Linked DNA regions of Canis lupus familiaris. The protein of the gene in region 4 purifies or fractionates together with the protein of the main gene of each other region. This does not show direct contact. Links are inferred from orthologs where the notes say so. Each region holds a gene or a part of one and is shown on either strand. Other genes may lie near its edges. The genes, in order: USP15, EP300, SKIL, SMAD2, SMARCC2, TGFBR1 and SMARCC1.

Region 1 (3,025 bases), on a different chromosome or scaffold from region 4:
GAAACAACTTGAGTATTTGTTACGCTAAGAAGTGCAGTAGAGGAGGACTTAGTAAGGATACGCGGTGATGATGGATGGAGCAATATCCTTAAAACGGTAGGAAGAGCTGGACTCATAGCAAACTTCAAGTGAAGCCATTAGTAGTAGAAAGAAGCTTACCTTTTCCTTAGAGATGGGAGGGAAGAAGGCATAGAATTGTTTCATGTTAGAGTAGCTGGGTTAATCTGTGATATACTTGCATTTACTTATCTGTTCGATCAATGTAATAGAGAATAAAAATGTTAATTCTAGTGAGTATTCTTTCTTTATACATAGAAGTTGTCTTATATATAAACCAATTTTAGTAACTTCCATTTGACCCTTTGTGATTTTTAAATTTGATTTAGGCTCTGTCACCAAAGTCTTTTGGTTACCAGCTGAAACATTTATGGTATACTTAATGTGATCTTTGAGAATCATGACCATTTTAACATGCTTTGTTTTTTCAACAGTCCAAAGCAGCATATGTACTTTTCTACCAGAGACAAGACACTTTCAGTGGAACTGGCTTTTTTCCTCTTGACCGAGAAACTAAAGGTGCTTCAGCTGCCACAGGCATCCCATTAGAAAGTGATGAAGATAGCAATGATAATGACAATGATATAGAAAACGAAAACTGTATGCACACTAACTAATGAAAGTCCTAGAAGCCATAAAAGAGAGACTTTCCTGCTGGTGGTATCTGTTGAAATGATGAAGTTACCCACCACATTAAACAAAAGTCTGAGATGGGGAGTTTCAGATAACCGAATGTAAATCCTTTATCAGATTTTAACTTGTGCAGTACTTGAAGTGAAACACAATGAAAACTTTAACAGAAATTGTCTCTTAATACATTTACAGTCTTGTAATTACAAGCTAAATATATATAGGAAATCACAAATAAATCCCTTTTAAGTTTGCTGCTGTTTTGATGAATTATGTTTTCTTTAATTTTTTGGATGTGAGTTAATTGATGACAAATGTTAAATTTGTGGATGTTGGTCATTTATTTTGCTCTAATAATACTGCAAGAAAACTATGGCTGAACTTAGTTTTTGGATAATCTAGTTCATGTGCATTAGGCTGCCACATATATTACTACTATGATATTTAGCTGCGGTATCAATGTGGCATAAATACTGCAGTAGTATTCTTGGAAAACCAAATTTTCAAATCTATCCCTGGTAATCAATATGGGCCTATTAAAGAACCAAATCATGATATAAGAAACAATCTTGGAAAAGTTATTTTCTTTTGTAGTATCATTAAAAATCCAGATTATGTTCATCTTGCTGCTGTGGAAAACAGGTTCTAGATTTCACACTCCATCTAAAATCATTTTTCAGTTAAATGTAAGTATTTTTTACTGCTATTGGGATCTATTCCTTAGATATTCAAAAAAATTTTGACTTGCTTTAAAATGCATATCTTTAATCTGGTGTTGGTCCAAAATTAAAATTTTTGCTGTCTGTTTTTCTCTACCCCATTTTTTGGTAATTTGGCAACTTTTAGCTCTTCCAATTATTATAATATAAGGACAGACTTAATAGTATTCTGTATCCATAGTAATAATTACATCAAGCTTAGATGAGAAATTTTTTTAATATACTGGCCTTTAAATCATTAATGGACAATTGGCTTTAAAGGTAGGTCTGTTAACTTTCTTTGTGTGTTCCTGATGGAATTCACCATAGCCTTACAGCTTTTCTCAGAAGGTAACTTGTTAATTAAGAAAATTGGCATTTGCATGTTCTAGAGTCAGAACCTGTATAGTATATAAAGCATACAAACCTTGAATTTGATTTTAGTTCACCACATTCAAGGATCCAGGATGCCAAAAATATGTGTGAACATTTGAAACATTTTTCATTTGCTGCTTTTTCCCTTTGATCTAGTTGAAAGAATGTATTGTCAATTGGCATACAATACTGCCTTTAATAGAAAATCTAAATGCTGGGGCACATTTCACATATCGACTACCTGAGAAATTGCTTTGTGTCCCACTGTTATTAAAGCAAAAAGTATAATGTTCTTCACTTGAACTAATCAAATACAATAGATTATAAATTGTGTATTGTAAATAAAAGTTCACTCTGTGAGTGCACATTTTGGTAAATTATTTATTTATGTTAGCATTTAAAAGTTAAAAAAAAATGCATTTGACCAGGATAAATGAGGTATGTTGATCATGGCTTTGCTTTATACCTTGATATTAAAGCTGGTTTTTCATCCTGGTATTTTAAAAGCTGCTTTGGGTTTTTGTTTTTTTTTTTTTTCTTTTTTTTCTTTTCTTTTCTTTTCTTTTCTTTTCTTTTCTTTTCTTTCTTTTTTCTTTTCTTTTCTTTCTTTCTTTTTTCTTTCTTTTCTTCTTTTTTTTTTTAATGTAAACTAACCTCCTGCATGACAGAGGTTAAAATTTTGTCTGCACTTGAGTTCACTTGAGTTTACATTTGAAATGTGCATGTTTATTTATACAGATTTCAATAAAGCTATTTAAGGCCTTTTTTAGTCTTTTATTTCTTACTCTGAATCTTTTGATAAAAATCCCCCATTTTATGGGTAGGTGACTATATAATAGACATTTTAGTTAGTGTATAATTAAAAATAGAAAGGAAAGCATGTCAAAGTAAAGCAAATCCTATTAAGGATATGTTTCAAAGTTGATTTTTTAATCTAAATATTCATTAAACATTTGTGCACCTACTAATCACTGTTCTGTAGCTTTAAGATATAGCAGTAAAGAAGCATCCCTCCACTCACAGAGCTTGCAGTCTTTCTGCTGTCTACCAACTAATAGGCTTTCCATTTTTCTGAGGTTTAAAGAAAAACCAAAATTAACTTTTTCCAGCCCTGGATTATAGTCTCCACCTCAGTTGTCCATAGAGACCATTTACTTTTAATGCCTGTGATTAACTTTTATTCCCACTAAAAGAAGTGTTCTAAAATAGAAAATGTTGTTAATAATGTTGAATTTGTCAATGTCAGCTGCAAAAAAAAAAAACAA
Region 2 (3,500 bases), on a different chromosome or scaffold from region 4:
GACCGCTTTGTCTACACCTGCAACGAGTGCAAGCACCATGTGGAGACCCGCTGGCACTGCACTGTCTGCGAGGTAGGCCCCGGGGGTGGGGAGCAGAGGGCGCTGGGGTGGGTGGGGGGCTCCAGGTTCCTGAGAGGCAGGAGAAACACTGGTGACAAAGGCCTGTGCTCGGGGCCATTGGTGAGTAGTAGCGCAGAGTGGGAGGGGCCTGGTCTTATATTTCAGTGGTAGCGCTGAAGAGTCTTTCTCTAGAAGGGGGTTTTGGGCCCTAGCAGAATATGTAGACTGTTTTTTTAATTACTTAAATCTTGGAGAGTTGACTGTGCCTGTTTCCCCCCCAGGATTATGATTTATGTATCACCTGCTATAACACTAAAAACCATGACCACAAAATGGAGAAACTAGGTCTTGGCTTAGACGACGAGAGCAACAGCCAGCAGGCTGCAGCCACCCAAAGCCCAGGAGACTCCCGCCGCCTGAGCATCCAGCGCTGCATTCAGTCCCTGGTGCATGCCTGCCAGTGCCGGAACGCCAACTGCTCACTGCCCTCCTGCCAGAAGATGAAGCGGGTGGTACAGCACACCAAGGGCTGCAAACGGAAGACCAACGGGGGCTGCCCCATCTGCAAGCAGCTCATCGCCCTCTGCTGCTACCACGCCAAGCACTGCCAGGAGAACAAGTGCCCTGTGCCCTTCTGCCTCAACATCAAGCAAAAGCTCCGGCAACAGCAGCTGCAGCACCGGCTCCAGCAGGCTCAGATGCTCCGCAGGAGGATGGCCAGTATGCAGCGGACCGGGGTGGTGGGGCAGCAGCAAGGCCTGCCCTCCCCAACTCCTGCCACTCCAACCACACCGACTGGTCAACAACCAACCACCCCGCAGACACCCCAGCCCCAGCCTCCCTCTCAGCCCCAGCCCACTCCTCCCAACAGCATGCCACCCTATTTGCCCAGGACTCAGGCTGCTGGCCCCGTCTCCCAGGGTAAGGCAGCAGGCCAGGTGACCCCTCCCACTCCCCCTCAGACTGCTCAGCCACCCCTTCCAGGGCCCCCACCTGCTGCAGTGGAAATGGCAATGCAGATTCAGAGGGCAGCTGAGACGCAGCGCCAGATGGCCCACGTGCAGATTTTTCAAAGGCCAATCCAGCACCAGATGCCCCAGATGACTCCGATGGCCCCCATGGGTATGAACCCACCCCCTATGGCCAGAGGTCCCAGTGGGCATTTGGAGCCAGGGATGGGGCCCACTGGGATGCAGCAGCAGCCACAGTGGGTCCAGGGAGGTTTGCCTCAGCCCCAGCAGCTACAGCCTGGGATGCCGAGGCCAGCCATGATGTCAGTGGCCCAGCATGGTCAGCCCTTGAATATAGCTCCCCAGCCAGGACTGGGCCAGGTAGGTGTGAGCCCTCTCAAACCAGGCACTGTGTCTCAACAAGCCTTACAAAACCTTTTGCGGACTCTCAGGTCTCCCAGCTCTCCCCTACAGCAGCAACAGGTGCTTAGTATCCTTCATGCCAACCCCCAGCTGTTGGCTGCATTCATCAAGCAGCGGGCTGCCAAGTATGCCAACTCGAATCCACAGCCCCTCCCTGGGCAGCCTGGCATGCCCCAGGGCCAGCCCGGGCTGCAGCCGCCTACCATGCCAGGCCAGCAGGGGGTCCACTCTAATCCAGCCATGCCGAACATGAACCCCATGCAAGCGGGCGTCCAGAGGGCCGGCCTGCCCCAGCAGCAGCCGCAGCAGCAACTCCAGCCACCCATGGGAGGGATGAGCCCCCAAGCTCAGCAAATGAACATGAATCACAACACCATGCCTTCACAGTTCCGAGACATCTTGAGGCGGCAGCAGATGATGCAGCAGCAACAGCAGCAGCAGCAGCAGGGAGCAGGGCCTGGAATCGGCCCCGGGATGGCCAACCATAACCAGTTCCAGCAACCCCAAGGAGTTGGCTACCCCCCACCACCGCCGCCGCCACAGCAGCAGCAGCAGCAACAGCGGATGCAACATCACATGCAGCAGATGCAACAAGGGAACATGGGACAGATGGGCCAGCTCCCCCAGGCCTTGGGAGCAGAGGCTGGAGCCAGTTTGCAGGCGTATCAGCAGCGACTCCTCCAGCAACAGATGGGGTCCCCTGCTCAGCCCAACCCCATGAGCCCCCAGCAGCATATGCTCCCAAGCCAGGCTCAGTCCCCACACCTCCAAGGCCAGCAGATCCCTTCTTCTCTCTCCAATCAAGTGCGCTCTCCCCAGCCTGTCCCTTCTCCACGGCCGCAGTCCCAGCCTCCCCACTCCAGCCCTTCCCCAAGGATGCAGCCTCAGCCCTCTCCGCACCATGTCTCCCCACAGACCAGTTCTCCACATCCCGGACTGGTAGCTGCCCAGGCCAACCCCATGGAACAAGGGCATTTTGCCAGCCCGGACCAGAGTTCAATGCTCTCTCAGCTCGCTAGCAATCCAGGCATGGCAAACCTCCATGGTGCAAGCGCCACGGACCTGGGACTCAGCACCGATAACTCAGACTTGAATTCGAACCTCTCACAGAGTACACTAGACATACACTAGAGACACCTTGTAGTATTTTGGGAGCAAAAAAATTATTTTCTCTTAACAAGACTTTTTGTACTGAAAACAATTTTTTTGAATCTTTCTTAGCCTAAAAGACAATTTTCCGTGGAACACATAAGGACTGTGCAGTAGCTGTTTGTGGTTTAAAGCAAACAAGCCAGATGAACCTGAGGGATGATAGAGTACAAAGAATATATTTTTGTTATGGCCGGTCCTGCCGGCCTCTTTTTTTCCCTTGTGTGTGTGGTTCAAGTGTGCACTGGGAGGAGGCTGAGGTCTGGGAAGCCAACCACACGCTCCTGCCTTGCACCTCCAATAGGTTTTATTATTTTTTTTAAATTAATGAAAATATGTAATATTAATAGTTATTATTTACTGGTGCAGATGGTTGACATTTTTCCCTATTTTCCTCACTTTATGGAAGAGTTAGAACATTTCTAAAACCAGAGGACAAAAGGGGTTAATGTTACTTTAAAATTACATTCTATATATATATAAATATATATAAATATATATTAAAATACCAATTTTTTTTCTCTGGGTGCAAAGATGTTCATTCTTTTAAAAATGTAAAAAAAAAAAAAAAAAAAAAAAATTTCCCCTTTCCTCCCCTGAAGTCAACTTTTGTGCTCCAGAAAATTTTCTATTCCGTAAGTCTGAGCGTAAAAACTTCAAGTATTAAAATAATTTGTACATGTAGAGAGAAAAATGACTTTTTCAAAATATACAGGGGCAGCTGCCAAATTGATGTATTATATATTGTGGTTCTGTTTCTTGAAAGAATTTTTTTCGTTATTTTTACATCTAACAAAGGAAAAAATTTAAAAGAGGGTAAGAAACGATTCCTGTGGGATGATTTTAACATGCAAAATGTCCCTGGGGTTTCTTCTTCGCTTGCTTTCTTCCTCCTTACCCTGCCCCTAACCCCCCCAT
Region 3 (3,500 bases), on a different chromosome or scaffold from region 4:
GAGCCAGTTCCTCACTTAGAACACTGACCTTATACCACTTATTTCTCCCATCTAAATATAGCTACTAACTATGCAAATTAAATGTAGCTATTAGTCATGCAAATAGTTTGGTGATCATTACTAATATAATTTCCACCCTTGGAAATAGTTTAACAGTTGCTACATTTCAATCAACTGCCTATTGAGTTTCATAATTTTGTTTTTTCAATCTAAGACAATACTTTGACTATGTAAACTATATAAACATACTGAATTATCAAAATATATTGAATTACATTAGCATTCACAGTAAGCATAAGGTACTTTACATAAGAGATTAATATATTTAGTATACTCTTGTACTTAAAAAAAAAAAAAAGAGAGAGAGAGAGAGAGAGAGAAAGAAAGAAAGCCTGTCTTGACTTTTTCAAATGAGTTTCCTCTGGGTCTACTTGGTTTGTTTGGCAACCGACTCACTGACTCACAGAAGATAATAAAAAATGTTCCCCAGTCAAGGATATCTCCTAGCCGCCCCCCTCCCAGTTATATACCTTAGTTTATAATTCAAGTTAATACAGTGTTTATGAACCAGTATACTTAGGGAAATTGATAGGAAAAGTTACTGTTTCTCAAAATTCAGTTTCTACTACTAAGTTTGCTTTAGGGAAAAGCTGTGAAAACTACTAGATGTCAAGTCAGAAGAACTGCATTGGACTCCTGACTCCACCACCCACTAGTTATACAACCTGGAACATGTGACCCATCTGGGGCTGGTATCTCATCTGAGAAGCCTTGTTCACAGACCTTCAAGAAAGAACTACCTCACAAAGTTTTAAGGAGTAAACTTTCAAAATATGAAGTGGCAAGCATGATAAACCACTCAAGTATATACATATATATACACATACACATGAAGTCAAAAGTTTTCTTTCCTAAAGATTTGATTACTAGAAATCTTCCTAAATTTCCTTAAATTGCTGAAAATTCACATAAAATTGGAAATACTAACAAAATACACCAAAACACTGAAGTAAATCTGCAAAAAGGTAACATAGCCAAAAGGTGAAGGAAAAAATCTCGGACCTTCCCAAATAAAAAAATGAATTCAAATAAATAATTTCTGAGACAATAAAGGACTACATCCAGATGAAGAATGGTTTCAATTTTACCCAAATCCTGGCACATTCAGTTTCGGTTAAGTAAATTCATCATTTTTCTTTTTAACCTTTATCATTGGCTCTCAGATGCTTTTTCTCACAAACGCAGAGCAGGAATATCAGGCAAAGTAGTTTATCCCAAAAATGCTTATGTTAGAGCAATGAAGATTATTGGAGCAAGAACATCTGGCAAGTAATGTGGTCACCTATGGGCATGTAAGAGTAGGGCTCCTAATTGACTTAGGGCAAGATACCACAAATATCAAAAGGAGCATGCCACGTTTTGAGAATGTAGATAATTTCCAAGCACAAACTTCAGCGTGGGGCCAATCCAGCTGTAAGCAAGTCCTGCAATTTGGGAACTGGCCTGAAGTCAATCCTGCTTTAAAATCAGTCAATAACTGCACATGAACAATATACACTTATCTAGTAGCCACAGGCAAGGAATCTCAAAGTGCTGACCCTTTGGAAATGGCAAGTAGCAAACTATCCTGAATTCGAGTCTAAAATTACCCTCTTGAGCTTCAGAAGCAAATCATAGTTCTAAAACTAAACTGTAACTAAATTTCCCTCAAAACCTTAAAGGTACCATAATAAAGCACATGACACCAAATCTTAGGCTCTAGCCCAAGTTCTAATGTTGCTGTGAATAAGCCTCAGTCATTTAATACGCCTCATTCATTTCGTCTGTGAAGTAGAAAAGGCAGAGATTCTTTCGAGAAATAAAAACTAAGAGTGGAAAAATTAGATTCTTAAAATGAAACATGGCCAATCTTTTGTTGTATGAATCAAATAAAATTATACACGTAAAACCGCTCAAGAACATTTGCCACATTGTAAGTGTTAAATAGTGCTAGCTCGTATATGGATTTTAATCAAGTAGAAAAGTATACGTTAAAACCAGATCAACAAACTGGATATTTAATAACCCAAATCTTGTTTTACCCGGGCATTCAAACTCTTAGAATGAAGATCTTCAGATACCAGATAATGTGGTGGAAACATGTTTACGATCTCCATACTGACAGATTTTTATATTAATATTTAGTCTAAAAATATCTTTTTATTCTAAAGCTATCATATTCTTTTAAAGTTATTTCTTTAAAAAAAAAAAAAAAACTTGCTTACTGGAATCACAGATTCTTCAGATAAACCTACCTTTTCCATTTATTTCCAATACCGATCAAGCCTAAATACCAGGTACAGAAACAGTGTTAGAAATCCCAGATCTACCTTTGAAAGATGCTGTTTGAAGCCTACAACCAGGATTGTTTTGGCTAGCTATTACACCATTTGCAAATGGAAATAACACCAAAGTGTAAATTATCTCCAGTCCTAGGACAACAACAGATCTAGTCATCAAAAAGCAGGATGTGTGAAAAAGAAAGAGAACATGACTTGAGAAAGAAGCCCCAGATCCCCCACTCCCTGGCTGTATAATCTTAGGAAAGCCACTTGATCTCTCTGAGCCTCATTCTCTTTATCTGTAGAATGGGAATAATCCTACTTCTTGCACTAGGTTGTTTGGAAGATCAAACGAGCACATACACACACACACAGGAAAGCACTTTATAGCCTAAAATGTGTAACACAAACATAACACATTACAGAGACCAGTATTTTTTGTTGTGTTGTGTGAGCAGGAACAGCTTCTTAATGCACAGGTTAAGCAATAGTCTAAATATAGCCTTGATTTCAAAGTGAACCTCTGCCATTATTCAAAATTACTATTTAAACAGAACAAAACAAAACTTGCCTTGGATTGGGTTCTCTTTCCGTTTCTCAGGCTAAATTTCTCCTTCATTTCTTCTAAAATTATCTTCAGTTTCTTTTCTTCAGGTGTCCCTAAGTACTTCTGGTTCACATGGAGATAGCAATGCCATTTGGCGGACTCGAAGCCCCAGTGGCAAGTCCTTTTGTCAGGTGATCTGTGAGAATGCATCACAAATGTCTGGGGTGCAAACATTCCACAGCACTCCAGGCACTGAATGCACGGAGCATCAGGCTGAACGTAAAACTGGGGTGCAAAGAGACCCTGACATTTGCCCAAACATTCATGTTCCACTTCAAAGGCACTGCCAGTTTCCTTTAACTGGGCCAATGAGTTTTTCGCAGGAAGTACGCTACCGTTTTGGGGAAAAGTGCGTGGCCGCAATAAAGCGTTACATAGTCTCTGTGCGTCAGTTAACGTGATCAGTCCGCAGGATGGGGCATTGAATGGAAGTATTCCCAGGACCTTTAGGATGTGAAGCTGGTCTGAAGTACACCGTGAACAATAGATGTACAATTCGTCACACACGGTATTTATCTGCTGGAGCGAAAATTCTCGGAGAACCGAATTTAAGACTTGGGGCAAACAGAGTC
Region 4 (4,162 bases):
CCCATCTGCCAGACTGCACTAAATACAGCTTTTATATGCATTACAAAAACACCTGTATAAAAAGCTGCTACAAAACAAGGCCTTTGGAGCCCTAAAGCACAAAACCAACAGAATAAAAACCAAACAAGAATAAGGGGAGCTTTCAGACATTTATAAAAGCCCAAACTGAAAATATTTGCTAAATATAAAAATGGGTCTTTGATCAGTGGATGATGCAGCTCAACTGTTTTTCACTCACATATCTCCCCCCAACGTGAAGTAACAAGATTATGGCAATATGATTCTAATATTTACAGTAGGAAAATGAAAAGGGGACCTTTTGCCATCTTGAAGTAGAAACCAGCTTTGTTCCTATTAAAGAGAAAGGACTGCTGAAATACACAAAACCATCCCCAAATCCCTACTTAGTTAAAACACATACCGGGCCTGACAAGCCACAAACAACAGGAAATTACCCTGCATGGTTTCTTACAAGACTATTATTACATGAACCTTACAGACTGTGTAGAGATTTGATCACTTATGCCTAGGCACAGGTAAGAAGTTACAGCCACGAAAACCTAACTCTTGCTGAACACCTACAATGTGAAAGCACTATAGAAGGCATAGCTACAAAGTACAAAAGCGAAGCCCAAAGAGCGATTTCTTACTAAACAAGCCCAGAAATGGATGTTTCCTATCACATTTATAAAAACTGGCCACTGAACTACCTTAAACTCAACTTTAAGAGAACTAAGTGAGCACCTGGACTCAAAATATTCTTATTTACTACCGTAACTAGTTTTATGGCAAAAACTAAGGAACCTTAAAAATAAAGTCAGCGTTACTTTCTAAATTTAATGTAAATGTTTGGTAAATGACCGTCTGATTCAGAAAAATTCCACCAATATCCTGTATGGTTTTTTTCAAAGCAAATGAAAAAATAAAATCTTCAAACTAGGACACATTTATGAAATCCGTTTCACGTTATCTCTCCCAACTGTTACATTTGCTTCCCTTATCTCTTTATTTACATTAAAACTCCTCAAACTTCATTTAACTATTTAACTTACACTTCTACCTAAGAAAAACTTTTTAAAGGGAGTCAAAATCAAAAGTAGAACAATAGCAAATGTATTTTCAGAGTGGTAGCAAATTTGTTTTCTTATTCTGCTCAAGGAAAAACTTCCTTACAATCAGTGGTACAGGTTCAATTCACACAAAATTCAGAAGGAAAATGGAAAGGAACTAAGACTGCAGAATCATTAAAAATTCTGTAAATTAACTCAGATTTTGGGGGGGGGGGCACTTTCGAAAAATGGAATAACTCCAAGCAGGTCTGCAGTGACCATTTATTTATTCATTAATAGTTACTTTACATGTGTTACTTTAGAAGTTCAAGACAGCAAAATTGAGGACACTTAAAAGTGTAACAAACAAGACACGGTTTTCACGGAAAATGCTACTTCCAGAATCGTTCCACCCGGAGATGGTTTTTAAAATAATGGTTTAATGAACAACCAGCCGGTAGTATTTAGCTTTTAAGGGGTCAAGAGGAAGGAACACCAAAACCAACCTAGGTATTGTTTTTTCTTTTGTTTAGGATCAAAAGGAAACCATAACCACAGAAAGGTTAAGTAAGTAAAAGGCAAAAGTACCCAACCCCAAGGACAGTATCCCCCAAGAGAGAACAAAACCATTAAGGTTGCAAATGTGTAAACCAAGTTTGAAATACGTGAAATCAATTAGCGTGCTTTCTAAAAGGCGTGTGATAAAAACCAACAGGCTCCACTCCCAGGGCAACTTTCACAAGTGAGTGCAGGATCTCCACGGAGGATCAGCCGTGTGCCTGCTTGTGCAGAGTACACGCGAGCAGTTCCGAACCCCGGGTTTAGAATGGTTAACAAAGGTTACAGGACCAAAAAAAAAAAAAAAAAAAGTGGAAGCGAAGTATCGCACGCTCCTACCAGGGCTTGCCAACAACTCCCGAAACAAGAAGAGCTCGGTCCCTCCGGCTTTGAAAATCAGAACCACAAAGTACGAAGCGTGTTCGCGGCAGGGGAGACGGGCCACGGCCGGGCAGCTCCGGCGCCGACCCAGGCCCCGCGCCCCCCCGCGCCCCCCCGCGCCCCCGGCCCCGACCCCGCCACACCCCGGCCCCCAGGGCCGTGCGACGCGCCGAGCCTCGCCGAGACCCGAGCCCGACGCAAACACACCCCTACCCCGAGGGCCCGCCGGGCGCCGCCGCTTTACCTGCACCGGGGCTCCGGGTCCCGCCCCGTCAGAGCCGGGGGTCCGGGACCTTTTGTTCCTTCCTCTTCCGAATGGGATGAGGGGCTGGGAGGGGAGAGGGGAAGGGGCGACTGGAGGCGGAACTGAAAACACTCCCGCGGCCGCCCGGCCCGGCCCGGCCCGCCCCGCCCCCCAGCCAGTGCCCGGCCCGCGGCCCCGCGCGCGGGGAGGGGACGCGGGCTCGGCCACCGCCCGCGGGAGGGAGGGGGTGGGGACGCGCGTCCCGCCGCCGCCGCCGCCGCCGCCGCCGCCGCCGCCGCGCCGCGCCGCCGCCCCTCCTCCCCTCGGGCGCGAGCCCGCCCGCATCCCCCGCCCCCCGCCCCGGGCCGCCCGGACGGCCGAGCCCTCCCCCGCCGCGCCCGCCGGCCCACCTCCGCTTCCGCCCTGCGCCCTCCGCCGCCGGCCGCAGCGGCGCGGCGCGGCGCACCCACCTTCGGGCGGCTGGCTCGGCGCTCGCTGGCTGCTGGCTGGGAGCTGCTCCGCCGCCGCCGCGGCCGCGCGGTAGACCCGCCTCCCACCCCGGGCCGCGAGCCCCGCCGATTCGCCGGCGCAGCCCCGGGGCTGGCACCCTGCCGCCCGCTGATTGGCGCCCCCGGCCGCCCGTTAGGGCGCGAGGCACGCCGGCCGAGCGCAGCGCCCGGCGCGCACGGAAGACGGGGCGAGCGGAGGAGGGAAGGAGGGAGGCCGAGCGCCCGGGAAGGGCCGGGGCGCGAGCGGGGCTCGGAGACTCGCGGGCCACTACCTCCCCACCTCCGCTCCCTTCGGCCGCCCCGCCCTCCCGGCCGGACCGGCGGCGCGCGCAGCCAATGAGCGCGCGCGGTGCTCGGGGTGTGAGCCGCGCGTCGGGGGCCTCGAATCGGAAGGGAGACGTCGCTCGCTGATTGGTCCCGCCTCCCCCGTAGAGCGTGAGGCGAGGCGCGGCCGCCGGGCGGGCGGGCGGGCGGCCGGGGCCGAGGCGGGGTGGCACGCCCGCGGCCTCGGCTGGCGACGTCTGGGGCGCGCTGCCGCGGGCGGCTCCGCGGCGGGAAGGCGCGGGACCTGCCGCGCTGCCGGCCCCGGCCCGGCCCCGCCCCGCCGTCCTGCCCGCGCCATTGGGTGGGGCCCGTGGGCCGCCGCCGAGCCCACCGCCCGGACCCCGCCGCGAGCGGACACGTGCTCGTCCCGGGGGAGGCCCGAGGGCCGCCTCGAGGACGCGCCGAGCCGGGGCCGGGCCGACCGCGCCGAGTGAGTGGGCGGGGCCCTCGTGCAGCCGAACGGGGCGGGGGCCGAGCCGCAAACCGGCGCTGGCGGGGCTCTTCTCCGGGCCCCCGCGGCGGGCGGGGGGATGCCAGGTGTTTCTGAAGAGCCGGGACGTGGTTCCGCCTTCGCGGAAGGTGGTGCGACTGCCGCATGCTCCGAGAGGCCCTCGCCAGGTCTAGACGCTAGGAGCCTAACACGATGCTCCTCACCGCTCTCTGGCCCTCCCTTCCTCCTCGTTTCTCCGGCGTCCAGGCGGTGTTCGCAGGCCCCGACCCGGAGGCCCTAAGCTGCCGGCCGCCCAGGCCGTCCAGGCCGCCCAAAGCCGGGGGGGCGGCTGGGCATCCGCACTGCCGTAACCTTGTCGCTTTGACCCTGCAGACACCAAGCCTCGGCCGGAAGCATGGACCCCGACTAATCACGTTCAAGTATTTACTTACTAAGCATCTACTATGTTTGGCGGCGAGCACCGTAGGACTACAGATGAAGAGAGACCTAGGTCTTAGGGCAGGCTGTCGGTGCCAGAGCCAGCACTACAAACACCATTTTCTTGGCTCCCTGGCCAGCACGCATCGTCATCAGTCCTTAGGAACAGGTAATACCGGATGACCGTTTCAAACAGCAAGAGGCCTTGAAGCTTACTCTCTCTTTTCAG
Region 5 (3,500 bases), on a different chromosome or scaffold from region 4:
CCTAAAAGTATGGAGGCCGCTGGACACTCAGCATTCCCATTATGCCCCTGGCAACCCTCTGCTTCTCCCACACCCCGGGAAAGTGGGAACTAATGATGCCATGGGAATGGACTGTTAAGGGCCCCAAGACCTAGAAAGGGTCAGAGTTTTGAGTTCTGAACAACAGCTAAAACTAGACTAAGGTGGGAAAACCCTAGGCAGTAGAAAGTTCTGGGTAGAAGGAACTTTAGAAGCGCAAATCCGAATCCCATAGAGAGGTAGAGAGGGCCTCTCTAAACTGGCTCCACCTTGCCCGTGGTCTCCATGCTTTCATCCTCCTGTTCATCTGAAAGAGAGAGTGAGCAAATCAGGAGTGGAGCCTCCAGAGCAGCAGCAAGAGTCCTGCCCTCTGAAAAGCCGTGGCAGGCTAGGGGAAGCGGGCCGCAGAGCCTCCTCTCCTTACCCAGGTCAGTCATGGTGCCTCCTTTGACCGGGGCAGACTCTGAATCCTTCTTAGTGTTGACTGCCAGGAGAGAGAGTCATTTTATCAGACAGGGTCTGCCCGAATCAACTCTTTAACTCTCCACCTTTAACAATTCTAAGAGATCTCTGATCACAAAAAGGGTTCGGTAACTCCCTCCAGGCACAGTCATTCTGGGGCTTGAAACTCAACTGCCACTTTCCCTCCTTCCCCTGCCAAACGGTCACTTAACTCTTCCTATACAGAAGCATCTTCCACTCTACGGACACTCATCAAGCATTCCTGTCTCTAACAGGCCCCTCTTATCTCCATCTGTGTGTCTGTGAACTCTTAATGGATTGAGACAGAGTCTGACCAAATCACTCTGGAGAGGACTGGTTGGATCGCCAACATTTTTGAAAGCAAGGGGGCTTCTCTTAACCGAATCCGTACACAACAGCTCAGGAGAAAACACGAATATGGAAGAGAGCCGCCGTGATTGATGAAGGGGGTTGAGGCCAGCACTCCTCTCTCTCAGTAGCCCCCACCGCAACCCCTGAAATACACTCCTTGACATCGGAGCTCGTCTATGGAATACAGATCGCAGTCCACCTTTGCAGCTATACAACTCTCTATCATTGCAAAGCAATGGTCTCCAAAGTGGGGTTCTCACACAGGACGGCAAGAGATGGTCCAGTGGAATACAGGTAGAGAATAACAGAACTTCTCTTTATATTTGTTTTTTTCAGTTTATCCTTTACATTTTCCCATTTTTTAGATAATGTTTGCATGTGTCTCACGATGTTCCTAAAGCAACGGTACAGCAGCACATATATAACTCATGCTCAAGGGGCACCCAGGTGGCTCAGTGGTTGAGCATCTGCCTTCGGCTCTGGTCATGATCCCGGGGTCCTGGGATCGAGTCCCACATCGGGCTCCCTTTGTGGAGCCTGCTTCTCCCTCTGCCTGTGTCTCTACCTCTCTCTCTCTGTGTCTCTCATGAATAAGTAAATAAAACCTTTAAAAATAATAATAATAATAATCTGTGATCAAATACTTTACTGAAGGGGGTAAGTGATCAAAAACAGTTCAGAAACAACTACTGTCAGGTACAAGCACAGTACACAACTCAGATGTGGCTCAAGTCAGAGGACTGCCCATGTTGAGAATAATTTTAATAAACAGCTAAATTGAAGGGCCAGATCCTCAAGACCCGGAGCTCGGCCTGGGAAATCAGCCCTCTAGGAAGGTAGGTCCCCGAAGCTTGGTGTGGCCCGTACCTGTCTTAGGTAACGTCACCTCCTCTACATTGGGGACTGGTGAAGGCTCATCCATGTCCTTTGTCAGGTCTTCTTGCTCCTCCTCTCTGTGCCCACGCTTTGACTTGGTGTAAGGTGTTGAGGGACTGGGGAGGAAAGGGGAGGAAAGGTAATGAAAGCTAACCTGGTCACCCTTAAGCAAGGAGTCCCTGGAAGCTGAGGTTCAAGGGGAGTAAAGCAAGAGAGAATCCCCAAGGGGGAGCTAAGCATGCATAGACATGCATCACTACAGAGGACAGGGAAGTGCAAAGGTCTTCCCTTGAAGATGTCACTCTGAGGTCACTAGTGGCTGCAACTAGAACTAACAAGTGGGCAGCTAAAGAAGACCTCACCCTCCCTCTCAGGACACCTACAGGAGCAGGGCCGACCCCAGTCAGGGCCAGGTAGTCACAGGAAGGAGTCTATCCTTCCTTCCTTCAACATGGAGAGAATGGTGAAGGTGGGGCAGGGTAGCGGCTGGCATACCCTTTCTTGGCATTTTTCTTCTTAGCTTCTGGGGTTGGTGAAGGAGAGGGGGAGCGCTTCCTCTTTTTATAGTTGCCCCCCTTCTTGTCCCGTCGATCTGAATCTGGGCTGTTCACCTGCAGGTTGGAGAATTGGAGTGAATGTCAGCCAACAATCCCCACTGAAGACTTATCCCCATGCTTGTGCTAAGGGATCAGGGAAGAAAGAAGAGGAAGTTTCACCTCATCCGTCAGAGTCTTGGCTGAAATCTTCTTTCGGCGGGAGACAGGGCTTTTATCATCATTTACTTCATAGTCTTCCTCATTCATCCATTCATTGAAAGTGTCTGTGTCCAGAATCCACTTTGCATGAACCTGAAGTACAAAAGGCAGACTGTGCTGGAGAGAAGCCTGAAAGCCACAGCTGTCTGTGGGTCCCCCCTTTATAAGATCTTGTTTATTTATCTGAGAGAGCAATTGCGAGTGTAAGAGAGAGCACAAGTGGGAGGGAGGAGCAGGCTCCCCGCTAAGCAGGGAGCCTGATGCCAGGCTCAATCCCAGCACCCTGGGATCATGAACTGAGCTGAAAGCAGACATCCAATCAACTGAGCCACCCAGGTGCCCCTGTCTGGGGGCCCTTAAGAGAAGAGCTGAAGGAGACAAGAGCCTGTGCTTGACCTCCAAGGAGTGGTCTGGTCCCAGTATACATCTTTTTTTTTTTTTTTTTAAGATTTTATTTTATTATTATTTTTTAACTATAAAGTTTTTTTTTTAAGATTTATTTATTTATTTGTTTATTTATGAGGGGGGGGGGCAGAGACACAGGAGGAGGGAGAAGCAGAGAGAGGCAGAGACACAGGAGGAGGGAAAAGCAGGCTCCACACCAGGAGCCCAACGTGGGACTTGATCCCGGGACTCCAGGATCGTGCCCTGGGCCAAAGGCAGGCACCAAACCGCTGAGCCACCCAAGGATCCCCCAACTATAAAGTTTTGATGTAAACTCTAAACTTCTTGAAGAAACTTTATTTATTTATTAGAAAGGGCAGAGAGCCAGTATGAGCAGGGGGTAGGGGCAGAAGGAGAAGGAGAGGGAGAAGCAGGCTCCCTACTGAGCAGGGAGCCCCACAGGTGGCTGGGTCCCAGGATACAGAGATCATGACCTGAGCCAAAGGCAGACACTTAACTGACTGAGCCACTCAGGCACCCCTAAAAAGATTTTATTTTTAAGTAACATCTACACACAACACAGGGCTCAAATTTACAACCCCACGATCAACAGTTGCATGCTCTACCAACTGA
Region 6 (4,025 bases), on a different chromosome or scaffold from region 4:
AAAACACAGCGCTAGGCTCTGAAAGTATAAAGGAATAAAAGGCATAACCTTTGCCCTCTGGGTACCATTCCAAAGTACAGATAAATAACAGTGCGAGATGGTAGAAATAAACAATACAAACAACAATACAAACTGTAAGCGCTATACATACAGTTCAGGGAAATAAAGAGTTCAGGAACTAAACCAGTACATGAAGCCAAAACTGAGAACTTCTCACTCCCAAAAGGGGCAAAAGGAAGTATGTAGTTAGAAGGCTAAAAAGTCAGGAGTCAGTGGAAAAACAGAAATCGCTGGAACTGGAGGGTTAGAGTAATAAGAAGTGAGATTTTTGGTTGAATACTCAGAAATGGCCCTAATCATAAGCCTTAAGTGTTGCTGAATACAAATGGAAACTCTTATAAACCCTTTGTGAGAATGGCTGTGGAAGATTAGTTTGGCCATAACCTACAGAAAAGTCTAGATGAGAGAAACTGGAAAGCAAACAGATTCAAGGGATAACAGGACACTAAACTGATGGCTGTATACAAAGAAAGGAAGAGACATTCAAGAGGCATTGATATAAAGAAGAGTTGGGCTCTACGCATGTTATCAAAGAAAAAACTTACATGATGGCAGAAAGGAAACCAGATTCTCACATGAGATATCCATGTAGACATCTGGTACGGTACTAATCTGTGTACTAAGGCCAGAGAACCAATTTCTCCAGAGAAATCTATGTTAGAGAAGCTGGTCAGAGGGAAACAAAACCGATACCCAGACAATAAGGAACAACTGCAAGGTCTTAAAAAGGAAGGCAAATTATAAATTTAAAATTGCACTTGACCTTCTTTAGAATATATGAATGATCAACATCAACATAACCAGCAAATGTGGGCAGTCCAGTTGAGGTAATGTAGGCTTAAGAATAACAGCACCTGGATCAACTCTGTATTGTATACATGCCACTGTAGTCTGTAAGCTCCTCCCCAGCACGGGTTGAGCAATGTTCTGTGCAGCAATTAAGTCCAACACTGTTCCTTGAATACAGGAACACTTAGTGTGCTAGGCTACAAAGAGGGAACTATGCTATTCTAGTTAACAGTGGTGTAGAAATGCTACTTTTGCTTGATACACGAACTACTGATTCTCCCACCTGCCCCTAATATACCTTGCCCCCACGCCCTAGGCCAATGTCAAAAATCCACGGTTTCCTCTAACCCAGGCCTAGTATGAAGGGACTCCAGGAATGTACTGGGAAGTCAACCTCATTTTCATATTGTGAGGGTAAAATCAAAAAGTGAACAGTAAAGACCAACTGCTCATTAGTGAACGTGAAAAGAAACACGGGCTGTGCCAGACGAGTATATACATTAAGGTGTATAGGTTTTGGAAACACTGGACTCTGGGTGCAAATCCTAACTCCAGTCCTTAGTCATGGAGTACTTAACCTGTTCAAAGCTCAGTCTTCTCATCTATAAAATGGGGCAAATGCCACTAGGAGGGTTTCACGGTCAGCATTAGATAACGCACTTCGGTGTACTTCGCGCATCTACACCATGGTGAAGCTCTTCACAGACAGTAGTAACTAGTGGCAGTCTCATTCTTGGAGTTCTTTGTTTTTTAAACATTTGGTATTCAATTTTAGAAACAGAAATGTACTTTCACTGTAATTTAGTTTCTAACACTGAGGATCTATATTTTAGTTTCTAGTATTTTAGTCTGGATGCTAACGGTTTTTCTCTCTCCCACGGAGGCTGGTCAGGACACCACGTACCCCATCCTGATTTAACCCTTTTGGAAAACGGAGCAAACGTTCTCCCTGGAAAACCAACCGCACGGAGGGACTCCGGATTCGAAACTACTGTCACTCGAGAAAAGGAACATCACCGGCGACGTTCCTTCGAGGAAATAAAAGCGTTCGATCAATCCGGAGAGTCCTTCCCATTCAAACGTTCCGAACCCCGCAGAGTGAGCAAAACGTTCAAGTTTCTACTACGAAAAACAATCTGTAGCCTCCTGGTTACTGGATGCACTTCAACGCTCCCCAGACGCACGGAAGAAACGTTCCGCACATCCTCGTGCCTCCTCCTTCTCACACAAAGCTTGGAGGCTCCCCTTCCGAAGCCGCCCCGGCTGGAAAAGGAGCCCCCGGGGCGGGCGGGGGGGGGGCGGCGGCCCTGTGACCCCGGGTCTCCACCGCACACCGCCCCCCCCGCCGCTCCCCTACCCCGCCCGGGAGCCCCGGGAGCCCCGCGCCCCCTCCCGCTCCGGGCGGGGCGCCCCGCCTCCGCCGGGCCCGGCCAGACAGACGCACACCCCCGGGCGCTCGGCCCGCGCCCCCTCGCTCCTCGGAAGGCAGCCCCGGCCGCCGAGCGCTCCGCCCCGTCGACGCCGCCCCCCCGCGGCCCGGAGCCCGGAGCAGGGGCGACCGCCGGCGGCCGGGCACGTCCACGCGCGCTCGGACACACGCCCCCGCCCCGCCCCGCCCCGCCCGCGCTCCCCGCCCGCGCCTCGCGTGGCGGCCGCCAGGCCAGGCCAGCCCGGCCCCGGCCCTGCCCCTGCCCCGGCCCCGGCCCCGCGCCGCCACCTGCGCCCCCGGCCCCGCGCCATGTTTGAGAAAGAGAGGGAGCGAGCCAGAGGCCGGGCCCGGCCCGCGCGCCCCGCAGCCGCCCGCCAGCCCCGCCGCGCCGCCGCTCACCCGTCGCCCCCGGGACCAGCGTCGCCGCCGCCGCCGCCAGCACGAGGAGGAGCAGCCGGGGGCGCGGAGCAGCGGCCGCCGCCCCCATGGTCCCGCCGCCACCGCCTGTGGCCCGGTCCGGCCCGGCCGCCGCCTCGCCTCAGCAAGCCTCGCCTCGCCCCACCTCCCGCCGCCGCGGCGGCCTCGCTCCGGCCCTTTGTAACTGCTCCGGGGCTGCGCGTCCATTGGCTGCCGGGCTCCCGCCGGCCCCGCCTCCCGGCGCTCCGCGAGCGGCCGAGCGGGACCCCGCCCGGAGCCCCGCCCACCGGCCCGCCGGACAGCCAATCCGCAGCCGCGGGCGCCGGCCTCTGGCCACGCCCCCAGGCTCCCCGGGGGCCGTGCTGCCAGACCCCTGCCCCAGCCAGAGCCGCCCCCGGCTGCGCGGAGGCCGGGCCGGGGGCAGGGTGTGGGGCGCCCCGGCCTGGGCCAGCCTCCGGCCGCGGACGCCGGGGGTCGCGCCACAGGGGTGTCTGGCTGTGAGGCGCCTTCGGGAAGAGGCTGTGGCCGCGCGACGCTCTTCCAACCTCTCCAAGCGCGTAAGATCCAGCACTGACCCCGACCCCATCCACAGCCCCGCACCCGCGTCCCCAACACCTGCACCCAGATCCGCGGGGTCGTCGGGCAGGCTTCAACTTCCACTTCCCAGACCCACGCCTCAACTTTCGATATCCGCCCCGCCGCCCGGAAAAATCTTGCCTCGGTGCCTTCCACGGACGCCTCAGTCTCCCGCCTACCGCCGCCCGTCCGCGCCCCCGCCGTCGGCGTCTGACCCCAACCACACTCCAGGCCCCGAAAGTCCTCAAATCCCGGCCTCAGGCCTCGGATCCTGAGATCGGACACGCCCCCTCCTCCCTCAGCCCCTCAGCCCACCCCCCCCCCGCAGCCTCTCTCCCTCCGGAACTCCGAGCAGACCCAGCACCCGGCTCCAAACCACACTCCCTCCTTCTGACCCCTTCCGGATCCAGGTGGGAAAAGGAAGGTCCCCACCACCCCCTCACCACACCCCCCCGCCCCAGAGGACGAGGATTCCCCTTCTTGGCTCGCAGCACTCCTCCCCTGGCGGAGGGGGAGCAGTCAATACTTTGACTTGCCTCTGACACGCCTGCACAATAATTCTGAGGTGTCACTAGAAACCCAAATAAACTCGGCTACGTTTTCATTCTGAATTCCTAATTTACTGTGAGACGCTCCACCCACCTTCCCTCTGGGACACCAAAATGAGCTCCAGATTTGTAATTCTTCCTGTCAGACTAGTCCTCTCTTCAGACACAAACACAGCCGAGGAGGCTGTGTTCCACAGAACAGAGAA
Region 7 (3,500 bases), on a different chromosome or scaffold from region 4:
ACCTTTCTATAACAAAGCTGTAAGGATTCATTTAAAACCACAATCACAGATTTGGTATAAGAAACCCTGATAATTTTTTTTCATCTAGTTAGACATGGTATATTCTTTTGGCTAACTTGGCAATTGCTACCATTTGTAAATAGTTCCAGTTCTTGGCAGTCTCTTGTTTAAAAGCACAATTTAGCATTTTAGTTTCCGTAAATCTAAAAATTTATCTTTAGATCTTTGTTTATCCACTTGTCCATATACGAGAGCTTTTTTGAGCAGGGTACCTTCTCTACTCTGATGTAGTCACCCTTAACTTGCTAGATTTTTGTTTTACTTTTGTGGTGAGAACTTTTGCTAGCTCTCTAGCTTCTTTTCACTTGTTTTAAATATTTTGTCATAGAAATGCTTAGGGATGTTGTGAAATCTGCTGTGACTCAAAAAATCAGTTTCTCTCTCTCTCTCTCTTTTTTTTATCTGTTCTTGTCTTAGCTTTGATTTTGCCCTCATGGGTTCTAGTCCTTGCCTAACTGGGTATATAGCCACTGACCTGACCCACATGTAGCTCTAGGAAGAATATAGAGATGAGATGGAACATGTGTTAAGAGCATAGATTCCAGAGTATCTCCCTCCACCATGTTGAATTCTAGCTCCATAGTTACTAGCCTTGTGGTCTAGGACACAGTTTTTAATCACTCTGTGCTTTAATTTGCTTGTTGATAAATGAGATGATAGTAGTAAACCCTACTTTATGAAGAAATTGTGAGATTTAAATGAATTATGGTAGGATACACAGTAGTTGGGAGACAGCCTAAGTGACCAGGTGTTATTTGCAAATTCAGCAGGGAACTAAGGATTTATCCATTCACCACTGTGACCACTTTTGTATTTATGTTCACATTACTATTATCATCATCATTTTTAAGCGAACTCTACCCATTGTGGGTCTTGAACTCCCCTCCCCAAGATCAAGAGTCACATGCTCTATCAACTAAGCCAGCCAGGCGCCCTGTGTTACTTTAACTTCATCAGATTTTACTCCATTTTATTTATTGTTTTTAAATAATAGTGGGTTTTCTTTTGCATATTAGGGGTTTTTATCCTTAGTTACATTCATGACTGTAAATAGTCAATACTATTGTTGGTTGGAATATTGACTTTTTGGTGGATTTGGTTGGAATATGATAATTTTGGGCTCTGTGAGTTGTTATTTCTGAAAGGATGTGTGTCTGCCTTATGAATTTTGCCTCTGCTTTTTAGATACTTGGCATATCGAAATTTTATGATTGACACATATCGCCTAAACCCACAAGAGTATTTAACCAGCACTGCTTGTCGGAGGAACTTGACTGGAGACGTGTGTGCTGTGATGAGGTAAAGATGCCTGAGTTTTTCTCAGACACTTCACTTTAGGTGGTTACTGATGCATTGCTGTTTAATGTTTGATGAAACAAGATCTTTTCTTTCTTAATAAAATACCTTAATCAAATATCTTTTATTTAGTTGTATATTTAATACCGTGGCATTTTCTCCTCATTTTAAGATTTTTATAACTGACATCTTTTGTTTTATAATGAAATCCTAAAACGACCAGGGATGGAGAGTGGATAAGCTCTGTACAGTAGATCTATCTAAAGAAGCAAATCACATGTGAATCTTCTGTTTGAATTTGGTCTGTGTGTGAGTTCTTTCACCATGGACTTCAATGAACATTTGTTCTCTGATTTCTGTGATTGAAATAATTAGGCTTTGTACTGGGTTTTGGGGTGCTTTGCTGTCAATATTTTTTTTTTTTTAATTTTTATTTATTTATGATAGTCACAGAGAGAGAGAGAGAGGCAGAGACATAGGCAGAGGGAGAAGCAGGCTCCATGCACCGGGAGCCCGATGTGGGATTCGATCCTGGGTCTCCAGGATGGCGCCCTGGGCCAAAGGCAGGCGCCAAACCGCTGCGCCACCCAGGGATCCCGCTTTGCTGTCAATATTATTTTGAATTTACAGAAATTGTCCCTCATACAACAAACCAAAATTGTTAATTAACTTTATGATGGTTCATAGCCTGCAGAGAACATTTACTTGTTTTGTTGTTTTTATTTTTTAATGAAATGCGATAATGGTTATGAAGGAAATGAGATACATTCCCTAGATTTTAACTTTATGAGCTTTACTCTTCCAGGGTTCATGCCTTTTTAGAGCAGTGGGGGCTTGTTAATTACCAAGTGGATCCAGAAAGTCGACCCATGGCAATGGGACCTCCTCCTACTCCTCATTTTAATGTGTTAGCTGATACCCCCTCTGGGCTTGTGCCTCTACATCTTCGATCACCTCAGGTAACTTAATTATTACATTAATATTATAGTTTTAGTATTAGTAATTATTACACTAAAAAACTAGTATCAGGCATTATTATTACACTGATTATACACTGATGTGTGAAACTTCTTCCCTTTCCTAACTTTTGGAAAGTGGATATCCACACACATACATTCTTGAAAAGATTAGTATGTTAACCAGATTTTATATAGCCTTAAGTTAGAGTAGCATGAGTCTAGGGCAAGAATTGTTCTTTACATGAAATGGTAGAGCATATTAAAGAAAATCTGTTTACTGTTTTCTCTGGGATTTAAGAGAGGCAGAAAAATGTTGCTTATATAGTATGTTGCAATGTTGGAAGTGTAGGGCAAAGGTTTGGATATTTATTTTTTTAATAAAATCTCCTTACATGTCAGTATTAAACAGTACTGTAAAACCTTCTATCCCCCCTTACTTTGTAGAGGTTAATACAGCCATCTATCATTTGTCCAACTCCTAGGTCCCTGCTGCTCAGCAGATGTTAAATTTTCCTGAGAAGAACAAGGAGAAACCAATTGATTTGCAGAACTTTGGTCTTCGCACTGACATTTACTCCAAGAAAACCTTAGCAAAGGTAAGGACTTTTTTCTAGAAACAACTGGGCTGCAATCCAGCATGTCCTCTTCTTTGTCCTAAGAAGTGTCATTTTTCATAAGAAACTTAACTGTCTATAATGTAAAAGGGTACACATTCTACTTACTCTGTTGGCATTTTATAAAACAAGTCATTTACCATTTTTTCTGTATGGTTAGAATGGTAGGTATTTTAAACTAACTCTGATTAATATGTTAAATAAAATGAGAAAAAGTGGAGAATTTCAGCATAATTGGAATCTATACAAAGAATCAAATGAATATTGGATAATTAAAAAAATACACCCGAAATTAACTCATTGGGTGATTTTAGCAGCAGGTTGAGCACAACAGAAGACAGGATTAAATGAGCTCAGACTGGGGGTGCCTGGGTGGCTCAGCAGTTGAATGTCTGCTTTTGGCTCAGGGCGTGATGCTGGATCCGGGATTGAGTCCCACATCGGGCTTCCTGCATGGAGCCTGCTTTTCCCTCTGCCAATGTCTCTGCCTCTCTCTGTGTGTCTACATTAATAAATAAATAAAAATCTTTCTAATAAATAAATAAATAAGCTCAGACTGGGTAGTAGAGCC

Evidence for each region.
Region 1: the proteins of SMAD2 (region 4) and USP15 purify together in Homo sapiens (affinity purification with western blotting; 4 studies listed by BioGRID). This does not show direct contact. The link is inferred for Canis lupus familiaris from reciprocal best matches to the Homo sapiens genes SMAD2 and USP15.
Region 2: the proteins of SMAD2 (region 4) and EP300 purify together in Homo sapiens (affinity purification with western blotting; 4 studies listed by BioGRID). This does not show direct contact. The link is inferred for Canis lupus familiaris from reciprocal best matches to the Homo sapiens genes SMAD2 and EP300.
Region 3: the proteins of SMAD2 (region 4) and SKIL purify together in Homo sapiens (affinity purification with western blotting; 8 studies listed by BioGRID and IntAct, with this or other methods). This does not show direct contact. The link is inferred for Canis lupus familiaris from reciprocal best matches to the Homo sapiens genes SMAD2 and SKIL.
Region 5: the proteins of SMAD2 (region 4) and SMARCC2 purify together in Homo sapiens (affinity purification with mass spectrometry; 3 studies listed by BioGRID, with this or other methods). This does not show direct contact. The link is inferred for Canis lupus familiaris from reciprocal best matches to the Homo sapiens genes SMAD2 and SMARCC2.
Region 6: the proteins of SMAD2 (region 4) and TGFBR1 purify together in Homo sapiens (affinity purification with western blotting; 8 studies listed by BioGRID and IntAct, with this or other methods). This does not show direct contact. The link is inferred for Canis lupus familiaris from reciprocal best matches to the Homo sapiens genes SMAD2 and TGFBR1.
Region 7: the proteins of SMAD2 (region 4) and SMARCC1 purify together in Homo sapiens (affinity purification with mass spectrometry; 3 studies listed by BioGRID, with this or other methods). This does not show direct contact. The link is inferred for Canis lupus familiaris from reciprocal best matches to the Homo sapiens genes SMAD2 and SMARCC1.

The regions. Positions count from the first base shown.
Region 1 is NC_049231.1:5,996,448-5,999,472, forward strand, and holds the end of USP15 (ubiquitin carboxyl-terminal hydrolase 15), read left to right. Parts: intron 1-491; coding exon 492-674; 3' UTR 675-2,525; downstream 2,526-3,025. UniProt on the Homo sapiens protein: Hydrolase that removes conjugated ubiquitin from target proteins and regulates various pathways such as the TGF-beta receptor signaling, NF-kappa-B and RNF41/NRDP1-PRKN pathways.
Region 2 is NC_049231.1:25,034,750-25,038,249, reverse strand, and holds part of EP300 (histone acetyltransferase p300), read left to right. Parts: coding exon 1-72; intron 73-341; coding exon 342-2,564; 3' UTR 2,565-3,500. UniProt on the Homo sapiens protein: Functions as a histone acetyltransferase and regulates transcription via chromatin remodeling. Acetylates all four core histones in nucleosomes. Histone acetylation gives an epigenetic tag for transcriptional activation.
Region 3 is NC_049255.1:35,132,076-35,135,575, reverse strand, and holds part of SKIL (ski-like protein), read right to left. Parts: coding exon 2,893-3,500; intron 1-2,892. UniProt on the Homo sapiens protein: May have regulatory role in cell division or differentiation in response to extracellular signals.
Region 4 is NC_049228.1:43,687,275-43,691,436, reverse strand, and holds the start of SMAD2 (mothers against decapentaplegic homolog 2), read right to left. Parts: upstream 2,801-4,162; 5' UTR 2,703-2,800; intron 2,317-2,702; exon of another isoform or gene 2,233-2,316; intron 1-2,232. UniProt on the Homo sapiens protein: Receptor-regulated SMAD (R-SMAD) that is an intracellular signal transducer and transcriptional modulator activated by TGF-beta (transforming growth factor) and activin type 1 receptor kinases.
Region 5 is NC_049231.1:846,729-850,228, forward strand, and holds part of SMARCC2 (SWI/SNF complex subunit SMARCC2), read right to left. Parts: intron 2,577-3,500; coding exon 2,445-2,576; intron 2,340-2,444; coding exon 2,224-2,339; intron 1,845-2,223; coding exon 1,720-1,844; intron 503-1,719; coding exon 443-502; intron 326-442; coding exon 288-325; intron 2-287; coding exon 1-1. UniProt on the Homo sapiens protein: Involved in transcriptional activation and repression of select genes by chromatin remodeling (alteration of DNA-nucleosome topology).
Region 6 is NC_049232.1:56,498,754-56,502,778, reverse strand, and holds the start of TGFBR1 (TGF-beta receptor type-1), read right to left. Parts: upstream 2,801-4,025; 5' UTR 2,766-2,800; coding exon 2,678-2,765; intron 1-2,677. UniProt on the Homo sapiens protein: Transmembrane serine/threonine kinase forming with the TGF-beta type II serine/threonine kinase receptor, TGFBR2, the non-promiscuous receptor for the TGF-beta cytokines TGFB1, TGFB2 and TGFB3.
Region 7 is NC_049241.1:41,659,012-41,662,511, forward strand, and holds part of SMARCC1 (SWI/SNF complex subunit SMARCC1), read left to right. Parts: intron 1-1,245; coding exon 1,246-1,359; intron 1,360-2,161; coding exon 2,162-2,315; intron 2,316-2,797; coding exon 2,798-2,911; intron 2,912-3,500. UniProt on the Homo sapiens protein: Involved in transcriptional activation and repression of select genes by chromatin remodeling (alteration of DNA-nucleosome topology).